2 linked regions of the Cricetulus griseus genome follow. The protein of the gene in region 1 purifies or fractionates together with the protein of each later gene. This does not show direct contact. Links are inferred from orthologs where the notes say so. Each region holds a gene or a part of one and is shown on either strand. Other genes may lie near its edges.

What was found. Proteins that work in one complex are often made in the same cells at the same time.
Region 2: the proteins of Hnrnpa3 (region 1) and Hnrnpu fractionate together in Homo sapiens (co-fractionation; 3 studies listed by BioGRID, with this or other methods). This does not show direct contact. The link is inferred for Cricetulus griseus from reciprocal best matches to the Homo sapiens genes HNRNPA3 and HNRNPU.

What each region holds. Positions count from the first base shown.
Region 1 is NC_048599.1:99,409,910-99,414,039, reverse strand, and holds the start of Hnrnpa3 (heterogeneous nuclear ribonucleoprotein A3), read left to right. Parts: upstream 1-1,329; 5' UTR 1,330-1,408; coding exon 1,409-1,480; intron 1,481-3,589; coding exon 3,590-3,712; intron 3,713-3,796; coding exon 3,797-3,943; intron 3,944-4,021; coding exon 4,022-4,130. UniProt on the Homo sapiens protein: Plays a role in cytoplasmic trafficking of RNA. Binds to the cis-acting response element, A2RE. May be involved in pre-mRNA splicing.
Region 2 is NC_048598.1:15,825,532-15,829,049, reverse strand, and holds the end of Hnrnpu (heterogeneous nuclear ribonucleoprotein U), read right to left. Parts: intron 3,217-3,518; coding exon 3,088-3,216; intron 3,003-3,087; coding exon 2,834-3,002; intron 2,636-2,833; coding exon 2,381-2,635; intron 2,135-2,380; coding exon 1,953-2,134; intron 1,742-1,952; coding exon 1,670-1,741; intron 1,217-1,669; coding exon 1,163-1,216; 3' UTR 121-1,162; downstream 1-120. UniProt on the Homo sapiens protein: DNA- and RNA-binding protein involved in several cellular processes such as nuclear chromatin organization, telomere-length regulation, transcription, mRNA alternative splicing and stability, Xist-mediated transcriptional silencing and mitotic cell progression.

The DNA of each region.
Region 1 (4,130 bases):
ATTTCTAGTATCTCACAGGGAAAGACAAAGTTTGTTCTGTTATGCTGAATTTAAATTAAAATAGGCTATTTGTTGCAGGAAAGGGCTTGTCAATTGTGCTGTTCTTTCCCCTAGTAACTTTATTTAAATGGATTTGCAGATTTTGTTGTTGTTGTTGAGACAGGGTGTCACTATACAGCACTGGCTGCCTGGAACTCCACGTAGGTCAGAGTGGGCTCGAGATATGCTATACCACGCCTGTTGTCATGGGTGTTGGGAGATCATCGAATCCTATGTTGACTTTTATTTGAAAATCTAAAAGTCCAAATGATTTCAAATCCCTTTGCCAGGCCGAGAAAGGATTCGATTTCTATTTCATTTATGTGCTTCACAATAAAACTTCAAACAGCTGTCATTTTAAAAAGACACTAGTAAAAGACAGCCTATCTGGCCACCAAACCTTTTTAGATAGTTTGGAGCCAGGCGTTAGTTTGCACACGCCTTTAATCCCAGCACTCCGGAGGCAGAGGCAGGTGGATCTCTGTGAGTTCGAGGCCAGGCTGATCTTCAAAGTGAGTTCCAGGGTAGCCTCCAAACCTCTGAGAAACCCTGTCTCGAACCCCCCCCCCAATAAATAAGTAAATAAAAACAAAGAAAGAAAAAAAGAAACTTTGGAAATGGCTCCATTCTCTAAAATTCTGTGCCCTAAACAAACGATTCCGTTCCTTCCCCCCAGATTGATAAAAATCTTAATTCTTTAACTCTGAGAGTCGCCTATAGAGAGTCTCATCCAGTCAGCCGCATTTTCCCGCCCGTGCGACGTGCGGGACTTAGGAACGTCAGTGCCGCAGGGCTTGCAGCGTGGGCCTCCCAAGGGGACGGCGCCGTCACACTCTGCACACCTCGGGCCCCCAACATTTAGATTCCGCGAGGGAGGCAAAGGGGTCCGCAGGCTTTCTGGCAACCTTAAGTCGCAGGACAGAAAAGCGTGCTCTTCCTTCCGGCACTGCAATAGGGTGAACTGGGAAATGGAGACCCAAAAGCGCGCGGGGAGGGGCGAGAGGCGCCAAAAAGAAAGGGAATAGGCCTTTCTCTGGGCGGACGCGCGGTCACGCGGCTTTCTCCCGACGTGGGCGCTTGCCATTGGTCGAGCTGCCGCTGACGTACCTGACGTTGCCTGGCGCGAACCGCGGCGAGGGCGGCGCTGCGTTGGAAGTTGGTGAGGCGCGCGCGCTCCCGCGGCTCGACCAATCCGGACCCGCCGCTCTCGGCCCGCCAACCCGCCCGTCCAGTCGCGCTCCGCTTAGGCGTGACTCCGCCCCCGAGGGGCGGGCGGCGCGCGGAAAGCGCGTCACGTGATGACTAGCCCCGCCTCTTCCTCTCGGTCCCATATTGAACTCGAGTTGGAAGAGGCGAGTCCGGTCTCAAAATGGAGGTAAAACCGCCGCCCGGTCGCCCCCAGCCTGACTCCGGCCGTCGCCGCCGCCGCCGGGGGGAGGAGGTATTAGGGGGAGAGCGGGGGGTTGCTGGGTAGTTGCCGGCGTGGGGGGGCTTTGGCTCGATGGGAGCGGGGAGGCCGGGGGAAACCGGGACGATCGTCCCGCGCTCTGCGCTGAGAGGGCGGTGGGAGGGGGAGGGGAGCGGGCCTAGCGGCCCCATCGAGGCCCTCGGTCGGCCTGGCCCTCTCGGTCGGCCGCACCAGCAGCCCTCGGAGACGCGGCGCGGCCGGGGAGGTGGTCCGCGGCCGGGCGAGGATCCCGAGGCCTGCGCGGCCTGACTGGCGAGGCCGCGGGCGGCATGGCGGGCCTCCGCGGGAGCGGTTGGGAGGAGGCGGTGGGGGAGGGGAGGAGCACATCCGGGCGAGCGAGCGAGCAGGCGGGCGGCGGCCACATTGACATTGATCCGCTGCCGCGTTACGAAATGGCGCATTGGCCCGCAATGGCCGCCGCCTGGTTACGCCGCCAAGGAGGAGTGCGTGGGATTGGAGGGAGCGGCGAGAGGCGGCCGGGCATTTTGCCGCAGATGGCCTCGAGCCTCGGGGCGCGGTGCTTTCCGCTGGGGTGCTGCCTGCGCGTATCTGGGCCTTCGGGCCTCCTCGGTGACGGCAATCCGCGCAGATCTCCGGCCGGATTTTCTCACCGTTGATTTGGGGATACATTACTGAAATGCTTGCTGCTTTGAGGTGCTTCCTAACCCGCTAGTTTCGCTCAAGTGTTTGGAATGAAAGTGCTTATGGCGTCTGGTGGTTGAAGGATTAACCATTTCAAGGATTTGCGTGTAGATAAGTGCTAATTTGGAGCTTAATATCTTACCGATTTAATTTCTCGTGGATTGGCACCGGTTGTGGTTTCCTGGATTTTGGTTTTAGAGAACTTCGACCACAGTCAAAATTTCACGACTACGAGGATTTTTTTGTGTGTACGGAGATGTTGTTTTTGTGTATTGTCAATTGCGTTCATCCGAGGCTTGAATAAATGGGACTACGTGAATTAAAACTTTGGGCAGTTGATCATTTAACGTGTTTCTAGTATGTGGCAGTATTTAAGTATTGAATGCTTTAATTACTACTTTAGAAGATTGAAGAAGTTTTTAAATGTGATTGTGAGTCTCCTTTAAGGATTTGTGTTGCATTGTTTTAGTGCGTGCATTAAAAGCAATTCATTTGAATGTTAAAACCTTCCAAATGAAAAATTCATACCAGATATTCTAAGTCAATACGGTTTTGTGCTTACTTCCTTGGGCAGATGGTATATGCTATATGTGACAAATTCAAATTATATACTTGTGAATATCGGTGTACTGTTTGAAATCATTTAACTATATGATGTAAATGGGCATCCACCAAGTTAAATTGATTACAGAAAGCTAAGTAGTGCAACTAGGTGTAATGATGTACACCTGTTACCCTAGCACGTGGAAGGCTGAAGTAGGACTGCCTCAAGGCCCAGTCTTGCCTAGCCTGTCCTTGAGAACCTCCCTCAGCAGCTCCCCTCTCAAAGCACTACGGGCCTAATCTTATCGCTGATTTGTATTGTTCTTGTGGGATATGCCTAGGAATGTCTTAGATAACTGATGTGCTGGAAATCTGAATCTCTCTCAATTTGCCACTCCAAACTTTTTAAGTTGCATTTCACAGATTGTGTTTTAAAATACGGGTTTGTTGCTGTTCCAGACTGAGGATAGTGAAAATGGCATGGGTTGAATAATGCTGACTCCTGGGTTCTTTTTTGTTGTGAATGACTTGTTACACACATCTGAAATACACCCCTAACATACACTTGTAGCTTTCAAAAAGTTATTTTTTACTCTGGGATTGTTTTGGGGTTCAGTTTAGTTACATAATGTTTAAAGTGACCCGGGGTACCATTGTAGTGGGGTTTTTTTGTTTTTAAGGCAACAACCCACCCTCTACATACTTAATAATGGCTAGGAACTGGATACATAGTCCAGGCTAGCCTCTGCCTCAAACGCTGAAATTAACTGGTGTGTATTATCATGCCCAGCGTAGAGAGCAGATTTTTAATTGGGAGTATTAATGATAGAAATTTTGAGACTCTTGTAACAATTTGCTTCAAGAAAAAATAAAACTGTATCGATCTTTTTTTCTCAGGGCCATGATCCAAAGGAACCAGAACAGTTGAGGAAGCTGTTTATTGGTGGTCTGAGCTTTGAAACCACAGATGATAGCTTAAGAGAACATTTTGAGAAATGGGGCACACTTACAGACTGTGTGGTGAGTCCTTGGGGTGAGGATTGTCTTAGGAAGGGATGGGGACCTATGAGACTATTTAAATACTTTCATTTGTTTATTTTATAGGTAATGAGAGACCCCCAAACAAAACGTTCCAGGGGCTTTGGTTTTGTGACCTACTCTTGTGTTGAAGAGGTGGATGCTGCAATGTGTGCTCGGCCACACAAGGTTGATGGGCGTGTGGTGGAACCAAAGAGAGCTGTTTCCAGAGAGGTATTTTAATAACATGTTGTATAATGCATGGAACTGTGAGAGTTTGGTTTTTTTGACTTAAAATTATTTTATTTGCAGGATTCTGTAAAGCCTGGCGCCCATTTAACAGTGAAGAAAATTTTTGTTGGTGGTATTAAAGAAGATACAGAAGAATATAACCTGAGAGACTACTTTGAAAAGTATGGCA
Region 2 (3,518 bases), on another chromosome or scaffold:
TGTTCCAAGTACAGAGTAAAAGAATAAGCTGTCCAGAAAGCACACACTTATAATTTCTCCTCTTGGGAGTTGTAGTATAAAGGGATTTTGAACCTTGATGGCGAGAATCCCAAACAAGAGTAAAATGAATTCTTTTTATTGCAAACAAACGTCTAAATTAATTTCTCCACCCACTTTCTTTAGAAAGAAAAAGAAATCAGCAGGCTAAGGAGATACCCATTCAAGAACTGACATGATTAAAAGATATAAATGGGTGACTCACAATTTCATTAGCTTACAAAGATGGTGGAGTTAACTACTACAAGCACACTAGTTATACAGTATTTTGTGGGAGAAGGGCATACAGACATAGCTAACTTCATATAGATCCCATTAGACAACTGGATTTACAACAAGTTTTTTTAATAAGAAATGGGCAAAGCCAGCTTTCTTTTCAGAATCAAAATGCAGAACAAATGGAAAAATTTATGGTATTTAACCTTCACAAGTTTGAGCCTCCACATATAATGCAACCAAGTTTACATTTTTAACAGCCCTTCTACATACACTCCATCTTCTCAATCTTGGTTCTAAATTTTATCTTCATTCCCAATTGTTCAAATTCCATTGTTAAACAGAAAAAAGAATAGCTTTCCCGGTTTGTCAGAAATTTCCTTTCCACTATTACCCACCAGTTTACAGAGAGGATGGAGTGTATTATGAGCAATACAGAATCTTATGCAATTCATGAGGACCACTTAGTCCTTCCATGAATCTGGTTGCTAACATTGCTATTTTATTGTGACAATGACTCCCGACTGTTATTCTCTGTGAGAAATGGGGGAGTAAATGCTTAATAAAAGACACCAGGTACAAAGCAACATTTTACTTTTGTTGTGATAAAAAAAAGTCACATTTTACAGATAAAATGTAGAACCCTGAAATACTGACACATTCTCTTATCGTGCACAATGCTGAGGTTCTCTTACGATTCACTTTAAAACTGCAATTAAAAATGTACAAAAAAGAAAAGAAAAAAAAATCAACCCACAAAGCTTCTAAAAAAGGAACCCGCAGGCACTTCCTCTTGTGGAATGTTTAAAAAGTTAGCCTACTAAAGAAAACAGTCGACTTCTTGTGAAGGTTTTGGAGAAATATGTATCAGTTCGTTTTATTTGGGTATTCAATAATATCCTTGGTGATAATGCTGACTCCATGGCTTCTGACCCCAGAATTGCTGTAAGAGAAAATTTTGTTTTTAAAGAAAAAAAAACATCAATAAGCCACTCAAATTGTTTTTAGGAAATGACAATGATCTAATTCAGAGTAATTGCTGGAAACAAATTTATACTTGTCACACTTAATTTCTACATCAGACCAGAGACTTAGTTTTAATTTACCAATTACCCATATTATTTACCAATACACATTACAAAAAGAAACACAAGACTTGGGTTAGTTTACGTAATTAAAACTATTAAAAAGAACCATAATAAAAACACCGTATGTAGTAAATATTACTTTATCTAAAAATCTGTTAAAACTCCAGCCTATCCATGGTTACAATTTATAACACAGTAATAAGACTATAATTGTATCAAACACTTCAATCCCTAGATAAGAACTTCCGATCTGATTCTTGTAAACATAAAAACTACAATTTATGTAATTACTTAAGAAAACTACTTACACCCTGCTGCCACTGGTTGTAGCCCTGAGATTGATTTTTGTAGCCACGATTGTTTCCTCGTCCTCTGAAGTTCTATGAAAGGGAAAAAAAAATATCTGTAAATAGGTCTGAAGTAATGCTTGGACATTTTAAAGGGGCATGCTGAAACCCTGTATACCCCTGGTCATTGTTGTTACTGTTAGTGCATCTGAAAAGCAAAGATCATTAAACTAAACTGCTTCACAACTATGTCAATGCCACCTACAACTTTCTAGGTCAAATTATAGATGCTAGCTCCTCTTACCTGGTTGTAGTTCCCTCTGTTGGGCATTCCACCTCTGTTGTAATTTCCTCTGTTCGAGTAACCACCTCGGCCAGGAAAAACAGGGCCCCGGGGGTATGGGTAGCCAATTCCACCACTTCCACCACCGCCACCTCTCTGTGGCATATTGCCTCTCCTATTATATCCGCCACGATTACCAGGAGCTAAACACAAGAAGAGTTTATTTAGTCCTGCCATAACCTAGAGTTCAGTCCAGTTACAGCATTAGTGAAAAACAAATAATGTCATACTTCACTACTGAATATATAGTATGAATTGTAAATTACATACTAATTAGACATGGCAGCATAAAATATCTAAGAAATTAACTTCTTTAGCTACTTGACAAACTAAAAGATCCTCTGCTCACTTTAAAATTTCAATCGAATAGAATATTAAAATTAACTTGCCTCCACCTCTGAAATTGCCACCTCGCATATTGAATCCTCCACGTCCTCTATGGCCACCACCTCTGTTGAACTGGTTCTTGCCACTCTTATTTTTATTGCTCTTCTTTGAGCCAGTATTTTGCTTCTTTTCTGGTGGGAGTGCCTTTTTGCTTTCTTCCTTGTATTGCTCCAAAAGCTTTTGGGCTTCTTCCTTCTGAAGTTCAACATAGGTTATTTCATCAAAGCACTCAGCCACCTCTGGCAGGGTAAAATTTCCTATAGGGAATAAAGTCAGATTAAAATTATAAAACTATATTTGTTCATGGATAGCTTAGAGACATCTTTTATAAACACATTTCTATTTGCCAAATTAATATAATTCCTAACAGTGCTGGCAGTTTTAAAAAACACTTTTCAGGCATAACTCACAGAAACAGACTTAAGACAGTAAGTAATAACAGGAAAACTCCATGCCTTTCATTTTAAGGACAGCATGCTCTGGTAGGTCTTTCCCCTCTACTTCTGCTTTCTTCTGTGTCCTCTGCTTATAGTCTTCATCTTTTGGGCAAACTACGACAGCTTTTCGCTGGAAGCCTGCAAACAGGCACATTTTTCTCCTTTGGGCCGCAGCAGACACATTTGTCTTAAAGGGAAAAGTGAAGAGTTAAAAGACATTAATCTCACATCTTATCAATTAATATTAAAAAAATTTCAAAGCTTTTGCTCACCTGATCCAGAATAAAATTCCGCTTCTTGCGGGCAGCAATCTCAATAAACTTCCCAAGACACTGTGGAGCTCTCTGCAACAGCGTGTTCAGTTTTCCAGTATCTGCCATTTGCTTCTTAAAACCTGCCACCTACCAAAATTTTTCTTTTACTTTGTGTATTTTAAAAGCTCTGAACTGCACATACAGGACACCAGGCACCATTTTTACAAATTCAACTGCATCCTTTCATTACTACAATAGCTTTTATGACCTTGCTCTTTAAATTGCTGTTCAAGGTTAATTTATGGGAAAGCAATCACTAAAGTACCCCACTTTGTTTTAGCCAAAATTCTTTTCTCTAAGATATTAATAAGAGAAACACAAGCCAAGGTTAACCTAGGATAACTTCTGAACCCATTTACTATAATTCTAAGATTAATGTCAGGGTACAT